2 linked regions of the Xenopus tropicalis genome follow. The protein of the gene in region 1 binds, or shares a complex with, the protein of each later gene. Links are inferred from orthologs where the notes say so. Each region holds a gene or a part of one and is shown on either strand. Other genes may lie near its edges.

Evidence for each region.
Region 2: the proteins of lepr (region 1) and lep are in contact, whole or in part, in a crystal structure (PDB 7Z3R), measured with the Mus musculus proteins. The link is inferred for Xenopus tropicalis from reciprocal best matches to the Homo sapiens genes LEPR and LEP. Residues at the interface, in NP_666258.2 of Mus musculus: Tyr439, Leu440, Thr441, Arg466, Ser468, Leu469, Tyr470, Gln499, Pro500, Ile501, Phe502, Leu503, Leu504, Ser505, Val560, Phe561, Glu563, Asn564; in NP_032519.1 of Mus musculus: Lys26, Val27, Asp30, Thr33, Leu34, Lys36, Thr37, Thr40, Arg41, Gln92, Gln96, Asn99, Asp100, Glu102, Asn103, Asp106, Leu107, Leu110.

The regions. Positions count from the first base shown.
Region 1 is NC_030680.2:84,269,983-84,273,814, forward strand, and holds part of lepr (leptin receptor), read right to left. Parts: intron 3,418-3,832; coding exon 3,218-3,417; intron 1-3,217. UniProt on the Homo sapiens protein: Receptor for hormone LEP/leptin. On ligand binding, mediates LEP central and peripheral effects through the activation of different signaling pathways such as JAK2/STAT3 and MAPK cascade/FOS.
Region 2 is NC_030679.2:87,925,209-87,929,032, forward strand, and holds the end of lep (leptin), read left to right. Parts: intron 1-2,083; coding exon 2,084-2,443; 3' UTR 2,444-3,169; downstream 3,170-3,824. UniProt on the Homo sapiens protein: Key player in the regulation of energy balance and body weight control. Once released into the circulation, has central and peripheral effects by binding LEPR, found in many tissues, which results in the activation of several major signaling pathways.

The sequences.
Region 1 (3,832 bases):
TAGATGGTTAGATGGTAAGTAGTTCAGTTCAAACATAAATATATATTTCATTTAGTAATGTTATATTATAAACTATAATCATCCTAAACAGAATACAAATGTATACACAACACACTTGCTATTCCAACCAAGCCCACAGCTGACATATTACTATTGATAAGCCAATCTGTCACTTTTTGCTTTGCCGTAAAAAACTTAAAAAAATGACTTGTGTGTCCAAAAAAAATGATGCATGCATCAAAAAAATGACATGTGTGACAATTATCTTTGTTGCGAGTCATTTTTTTACTTTTTTTGTTTTTGCGTCTGTTTCACGAAACGCAGAAATTTGCCGCAAATCCATGCCTGCCAAAAAATTGTTATTCTTAAATTTTGACAGCTTGGTCTGAACTACGCTGGGCATATTTGGCAAGGTCTGTTTGTTTGGCAAGGTCACCAAATCTGCTGATTTTCAATGATCTGGGTCAAATCAGGATGATCTGTTGGTTTGGATTATTCTGGAGGCCTAGGCAGACCCATCAAGAGGACCCAAATCAAAACTCCAATGTGGTCCTCATCTTTCTGGTGCATTGTAAAATCCCATTGGATATCTGGCTGCTTTTTGGCTACATATTGCCATTCTGTCAGGAATTCAGCCAGGAGAGAACATTTATTACTTTAAGGGATTCTGTCATGATTTTATGGCATACTTTTTATTTCTTAATTACACTGTTTACATAGCAAATAATTCACTCTACCATTTAAAATGTTATACTTGAACCAACAAATGTATTTTTTTTGTTGTAATATTGGTGTGTAGGCAGCCATCTCAGTGTATTGCACCTGAGTCTGAGCTTTGGGAAGGAGCCTGTGCTACACAATAGAAATGATTTCAGATAATCTAAATCTAAACCATTGTGTATGAAACCAATTAAAACAATTGTTCTCAGTCTCAGATATTCCAGAAATTAGTCATATATTTGTCATTGGAGACAATTGGAACCCATTGGATAATCGCAAATGATAACCTTTATAACAAAGTATAAGATGTATGCCCGTTACTTTTTCTGCATCTAAACAATAACAGGATAGGCCATGCACCTTGTATGATAATTAATATGTAGCATTTATGGGGCATTTAAGGTTTATATCACAGGGATACAGATTTACACTAAATAAATTATAGTTAGCATTTATATGTAGCGCTCTACACTTCAGCATTCATTATAAAGTTCAAATCAGAAGTTGCCTTTGCATTTAGTCTTTCATTCTGCTGGTGTCTTCTATTTGGCATAGATAATTATAAATAAGTATGTCCTGCATCCACCCTCTTTCTCATGTTTAAGGGGCAAATTTATTAAAATGTGATAAATAGATCTTAACTCACCCATCTTTTATTCATTCCTATGGGATTTTTAGAAGTGTATTTATCAATGGGTTAAAGGTAAAACTCACCAATTGCTAAATATTCTTCTTAAAATCCCATAAGAATGAATAGAACATGGGTGACTTTTTATGTATTAAGCTCTTAACTAACATTTTCATAAATCTGCCCCTAAGGGTATTTGGTCATTCCGTTATCATTCAGAATTTAGCTGCATATTAGAAATAACCCATTTTACAGTTATGCTTGAAATATCTGGTAGGAAGTATCAATGCCAGATATATGCAGCAACCCTTATAATGGCTAATTCTACAGTACAGTGAGTTTAGGTTATTTGCTACCTGCTTGCCTGGCTTGGACTCAGTGGGATTATGGTTGAGGTTGAGGACCCTTGTATTTTCAAGGCACATGGTGCCAATAAAATATAACTAGTGTTTTAAGTGAAGAATTATAGCGCTAAAATAAAAATTTTTATTATTAGTCAGTATGAAAAATATTTACTACTGCAAACAGAATCTCATTTACTTTAATACACGCTTTTATCTCTGTGATTATAAAAGTAACAACAAATCACAGATTATATTAACATATTTATATACACTACTGCTTTACTTACGTTTGCAGTCAGACCTTACACAAATGAATAAACTAGTCTCAAAGTAGTAAATGCTACACAGAGTTCTACTAGGTGTGCTTAGATAATGTACGGCAGCCTGTTAAAATGCAGCATACCTTATAGTCAGTCAGAAATGTACTCATATATTACTCATTATGTAGTAGCGTGATCTTTCTGAGATTGTCCTGTGTGAACACACCACACTCAACTGTTTGTCCTTGATTTAATTAATTTTAATATATATGAAAGTACCAAGGCTCTTGAATGAAAACAGATTTAGCTGACCAGCCACTCAATTTCTACACATGGTCATATGATTAAATTAACCAAGCATGCATTACTTTACTTCTGTGTCTAGAGCAGAGGCTCGCAAATTGTGCCACTGTTTGCACTGCCTTATATAATATCATAATATATAATCTAGGCAGGCTTAGAATGAAAAAAAATGCATTGCTTGCTTGACCTCTTATAATGGTATAATATATTGTCTAGTCAGGCATATAAGTACAACTAATGTATATCTTTAGTGTTATGATTAACATTTGGATTTTTGTGGTTTTATATTTTTTAAAATCACAACTAAACTCATTTCCATGAATGGCAGTCATTTACTAAAAAATCTGAATTGAAAAAGCACGAATGAAAAAAAGTCGCAGAAAAAACATGAAACTTTTAGAATTTCACACAAAAACTTTTTGTATTGTTGCAGTGTCAAAAAACCTCTAAAACCAAAAAGTAAAGAAAGACCTTCCAGTTGACTTCTAAATGATCTTAACAAGTCTTAGCTGCCGTATTTTTTTCACGCATAATAAATAATGACAAATTTGGTAGCTTGGTGCAACCAATGTAGGACTGTGTATCTCAAGCACTCAGCAATTATCAATTGCAGGTAAATGTAATTGTGTAATGGGGTGGGTTACCAAATTAAGTATTATGGGTTATGCATGATCCACAGTATATTCCTACTTGAAAGAATATTTTTCGACTTCAACAATCTTAGGGGTATTTCCAAATGCCCTGGATACACAATACTGCATGAGAGTACACAGTGCCGCTCTGTTGGGCATAAGGCAGTCGTGTCTTTACTTTACTCGCCCCATAGACACTCAGGGCAGGACACATTACAACCCTTCACCCTCCAGCACTCCCTAACTTGCTATACTACCTCTCACTATCTGTGTTTTAAGAACCTAATATTCCTAATATTCTATACTTCCTGCATCCTAATATACACTTACCTGTATTTATGGGAAGGATGCAAACAGGTGGCGAATTAAGTGCTCCTAAATGGTGTTGTATCTCAATCCACATAATATAGCCAGAGACAAGGTGAACAGGCTCAAATGTGCATTCATAGAATCCATCCATTTGTAACTGGCAATCTTTTGAAATCGGCACATTGCCTTTTAAATCTTTATCTAAGCAATAAAGTTTGTTTCTTCAAAAGAGAGAATAAACATTATTGGATTTTAGACTGCACAGTTTATGATTATGGTGCATTTTCATATAAAAAGCAACAGGTTACCCGAGAATATGAACACATGGAATTGCATTCAGTAAAGGTGAACAAAAATATATCCAAAATAAAAACAAAATATACTGGAAACTGTCCAAAGGAGCAAAAGAGCAAAAGTTCATTCAGCACTATATTGTGGTGTAATAACTTGATTGCAGCTCCCTAAAGATCATCCAAGTAAAGCCAACCATCCTGTAGGGAAGTGCAGAAAACAAACCAATACCCTAAACAACAAAGGCCCTAAAGCGATCTTAAACTGAATTGAATTTTACTGCTGAAAAGAAACTAATAGAAACCAAGAAATCAGAATTGTAATTTCATTTGCAGCACCAATCAT
Region 2 (3,824 bases), on another chromosome or scaffold:
TGAGGCACAATGATGCTGCACTAAGTCATTTTTAGCAAACAATACATAAAAAATGCTCAAATTCAAGTGCATGATAAAGTTACCAAGATGATAAATCAAAATGTTTGTGCATTTGGTTACTAAACTAAGAACCTCTAGTTTCAGGGCATGCACAGTATGTCTGCTGGCTTCCTGACATTAACCACCCAGCAATGCTTGTACCCTTACTAAATCCCTGGGATTATTATTATTAACTTTTATTTATAAAGCGCCAACTTATTCCGCAGCGCTGAGATCTGATATATTGTTTAAAAACTCATCATCACTAGACCCAATTTGTATCCAAAGTTTGTATCACTTAAAGAGAAACTCTCATTAAAATGAATTTTCCAAATATAATCTTTTAAACTTTGTGGATCATTTTGGAAATACTCACATTTATCTTCAGTATTCCCCTCTGATTGGTTGCTATAGGTTACTGGCCTGGTGCAAATTTGTGCAGTCTTTATAAATTACCCACATGGTCTTATGCCTCCAAGTCAGAAATGTAAATATTAACACTTGCTTTGAGGACACTGGGAGCAACATCCAAGTGGTTGGTGAGCAACATGTTGCTCACCAGATAATCATTTTTTAAATAATTTTTATAAAATGAAATTTATTTTACATTTTCATTTTTGTGAAAGTTCCCCTTTAAAAGCTGTTCCCAGAGACAGCAATCCTTGCTGTATTCTAATCTCTTCACTTTCTTTTCAAACAAACCAATGCACAGGTCATTTGAGGAAAAATGAGTAAATATTTATGTTCAGACTACTGACCATGTTGATAAGCTGGGGGTAGGTCATAATAGTTGGCACAGAGTGTGGCTGTACCCAGCAGTCCTTCTGTTTCCATATCAGAGAAATTGCTTTCACTGGGGAAAGCCACCCTGCAAATGGCAGATAATGGAGAGATTTTTTTTCCCTTTGAAAACATGTAGACCTGCCCATGGCAATCTGTGCAGTAACATGACAACTTGAATTTAAAAAAAAAGAATTGCATGTTGTTTCAGTTTAGATTCAGATCTTCCTTTGTCTTCCACGCCATTGTGTTTGCGCCAACTATGCTCAGATTCTTCACAAAACAAGTCTGTCAGGATGTGCTGGGGTGCTGGTGTTCAAACTATCTGCTTTAGATCTCTTGTACTTTGCAGTTCTATTTGCAGTTGGTAGAGACTTGCAACACACACACACAAATACAAAAAGTAACATTTGTGTAACATTACAGCATCTTACTTAAATAAATAACTCCCACTGTTTATCTGAAAGGAGAAAAATGACTCATTTAAAGCAGAAGTATTTTTCTGGTCCCATGTTGTTTGGTCCTCTCTTAGCTCATCATAAGATTACAGATATATAGAAACACAGTTATTATAGTCTCAGGCACATCCAAAACAGTGAAAACCAAATTTGGTGTAATTAGCCTTTGGGATGGGCCCACCTTCCACAGTCCCACAGTCTGGTAACCACTACTGTAAAGGGAAACATCAAAATGTTTTATTAGTTGGTCACCTGTTTGAATTTCATAAAGCAAATCACATTTAAATATTGAGGGAGATTTATCAATACAAGTTTTTGTGCGCTAAGAAAACTCAAATTCGACTTCTGGTTCAAAACCTCGAACGTAAAAATTTGGCCTTTAAAAGCTTGCAAGTTTATGGGAGTTGTCCTAGGCTAAGTCAAGCAATAATCAATTTGAGATATTTGAGGTTTTTTCAAAGTATTTGAGTTTTTTATTCAATAGAGTTTTCCTTAAAATAAATAAGCCAGCACTGGAAGTTGCAAGTTTATTCGATTTAGAAAACAAACTCAAATTCACCAACTCTAAAATTGATAAATAAGCTTAAAGTGTCTCTTGGGTCCCCATACTGCAACTGAATGGTAACATTCACATTCTTTTTGCAGCTATATTTTATATACACCCCTTTTCTGTTTGCATACATTGCACTGCTTATTTTTTTTGGGGGGGGGGGGAGCAGAGCCATTTCTACTACTCAGTATTCTTTAGCCCCTTCTAACCAACTGCTATTTTTTCTCTTTTGTTCATTTTTTTTTTACAAATCCAGTTCCTTTTCCCCAGCAATCTGAAAATCAATGGTTTGGATTTTATCCCAGATGAGCAGGTACTAGAAAGCCTGGAAAGTATGGATGAAACTCTTGAAGTTTTCCAAAAAATTTTCTCCAGTCTTCCATTGGAAAATGTTGATCAGATGTTGAGTGACATGGAGAATCTCCGCAGTCTCTTACAGTTACTGGGCAACATTATGGGATGTACAACCAGAAAACCCACCCAATGTGACACTCAGGTGAACCTGACAGAAGAATATGCTAAAGCCCCTTATACTACAGAAAAGGTAGCGCTGGATCGCCTCCAAAAATCCCTGCATAGTATTGTCAAACACTTGGACCACATCACTGATTGCTAACTAAGGCCCTTCTAATGACAAAATAACTCTATTTTTCACTTCTCTAAAAAAAACCCTGGGTCATTTTAATGAGGAACTACTGCAAGCCATATTTATTCACAAACTGCATAAATAACAGAGGCAATGTTTACCAGGAGCTATTTCTCTCTCTTATTTGTCAGTGAAAACATGCACATAGTTAAAGGGAAAAATTATAGAAAGCTATTGTTTCCAACAAGATATCGATGTCATAGAGTAAATCTATATGTAAGTTATTGCTAGTCACTAAATGAATCAGTAGATACAATAATAACAATAGCTGCAACAAAATCTTTTCTAGTTTCCTACAAATAAGCTTCCCTATTTGTACTGTATACTGCACACTACAGAATATTTTAAATATTTTTGATAACTGTATGGACATGACTTGCACTAGTCAGCGAACAGTAAATAATGTAACTCCAAGATATATCTATAGTAGAGAGGTTTTGCCATGGCAATAAACAGCTTTGTGTTTGGTACCACCCAGCCTAAAATGAGGTCATGCTGTAAATGACAGCCTTAGCTGTGTCTTTAGTTTGTAAAGGAATATGGCATATTTTAAAGATATTTTTATATTTAAATGTTTTCTTAAACTTGAATATTTTAGCTAAAGTGGGCAGCTGTTACTGTTATTTACTATGCACAAAAATCACCGTTATAAATATTTATTTATTTATCCTATGTTTTAAAATAAACTTTTGTAAGAAAAAAAAATGTTTTTGTTGTGATTTATTTGCATTGGCCCAATTGTCTAAGTAGACCTGACAGAGCAAGTATGATTAGAATTCTATTTTATTTTTAAGGCATTGGTAAATACACCTAGGGGCTGATTTACTAAGACACGAATTCCGACCGAATTGGAAAAATTCCGATTGGAAAACGAACATTTTGCGACTTTTTCGTATTTTTTGCGATTTTTTCGGCGCCTTTACGACTTTTCGGAAATTATCGCGACTTTTTCGTTACCAGTACGATTTGCGCGAAAAAACGCGAGTTTTTTGTAGCCATTCCGAAAGTTGCGCTTTTTTCGTAGCGTTAAAACTTGCGCGAAAAGTTGCGCTTTTTTCGTAGCGTTAAAACTTAAAAGGCGCAACGTTTTGCGCAAGTTTTAACACTACGAAAAAAATCGAAACTTTTTGCGCAAGTTTTAACGCTACGAAAAAATCACAACTTTCGGAATGGCTACGAAAAACTTGCGTTTTTCCGCAAAAATCGTATTGGTAACGAAAAAGTCGCGATAATTTTCCTAAAAAATCGCAAAATACCGATCATTACGAAAAAAACGCAATCGGACGCATTCGGCCCGTTCGTGAGTAAGTAAATGGGCCCCCTAGTTATAGAGGAAGAATAACATATTCAG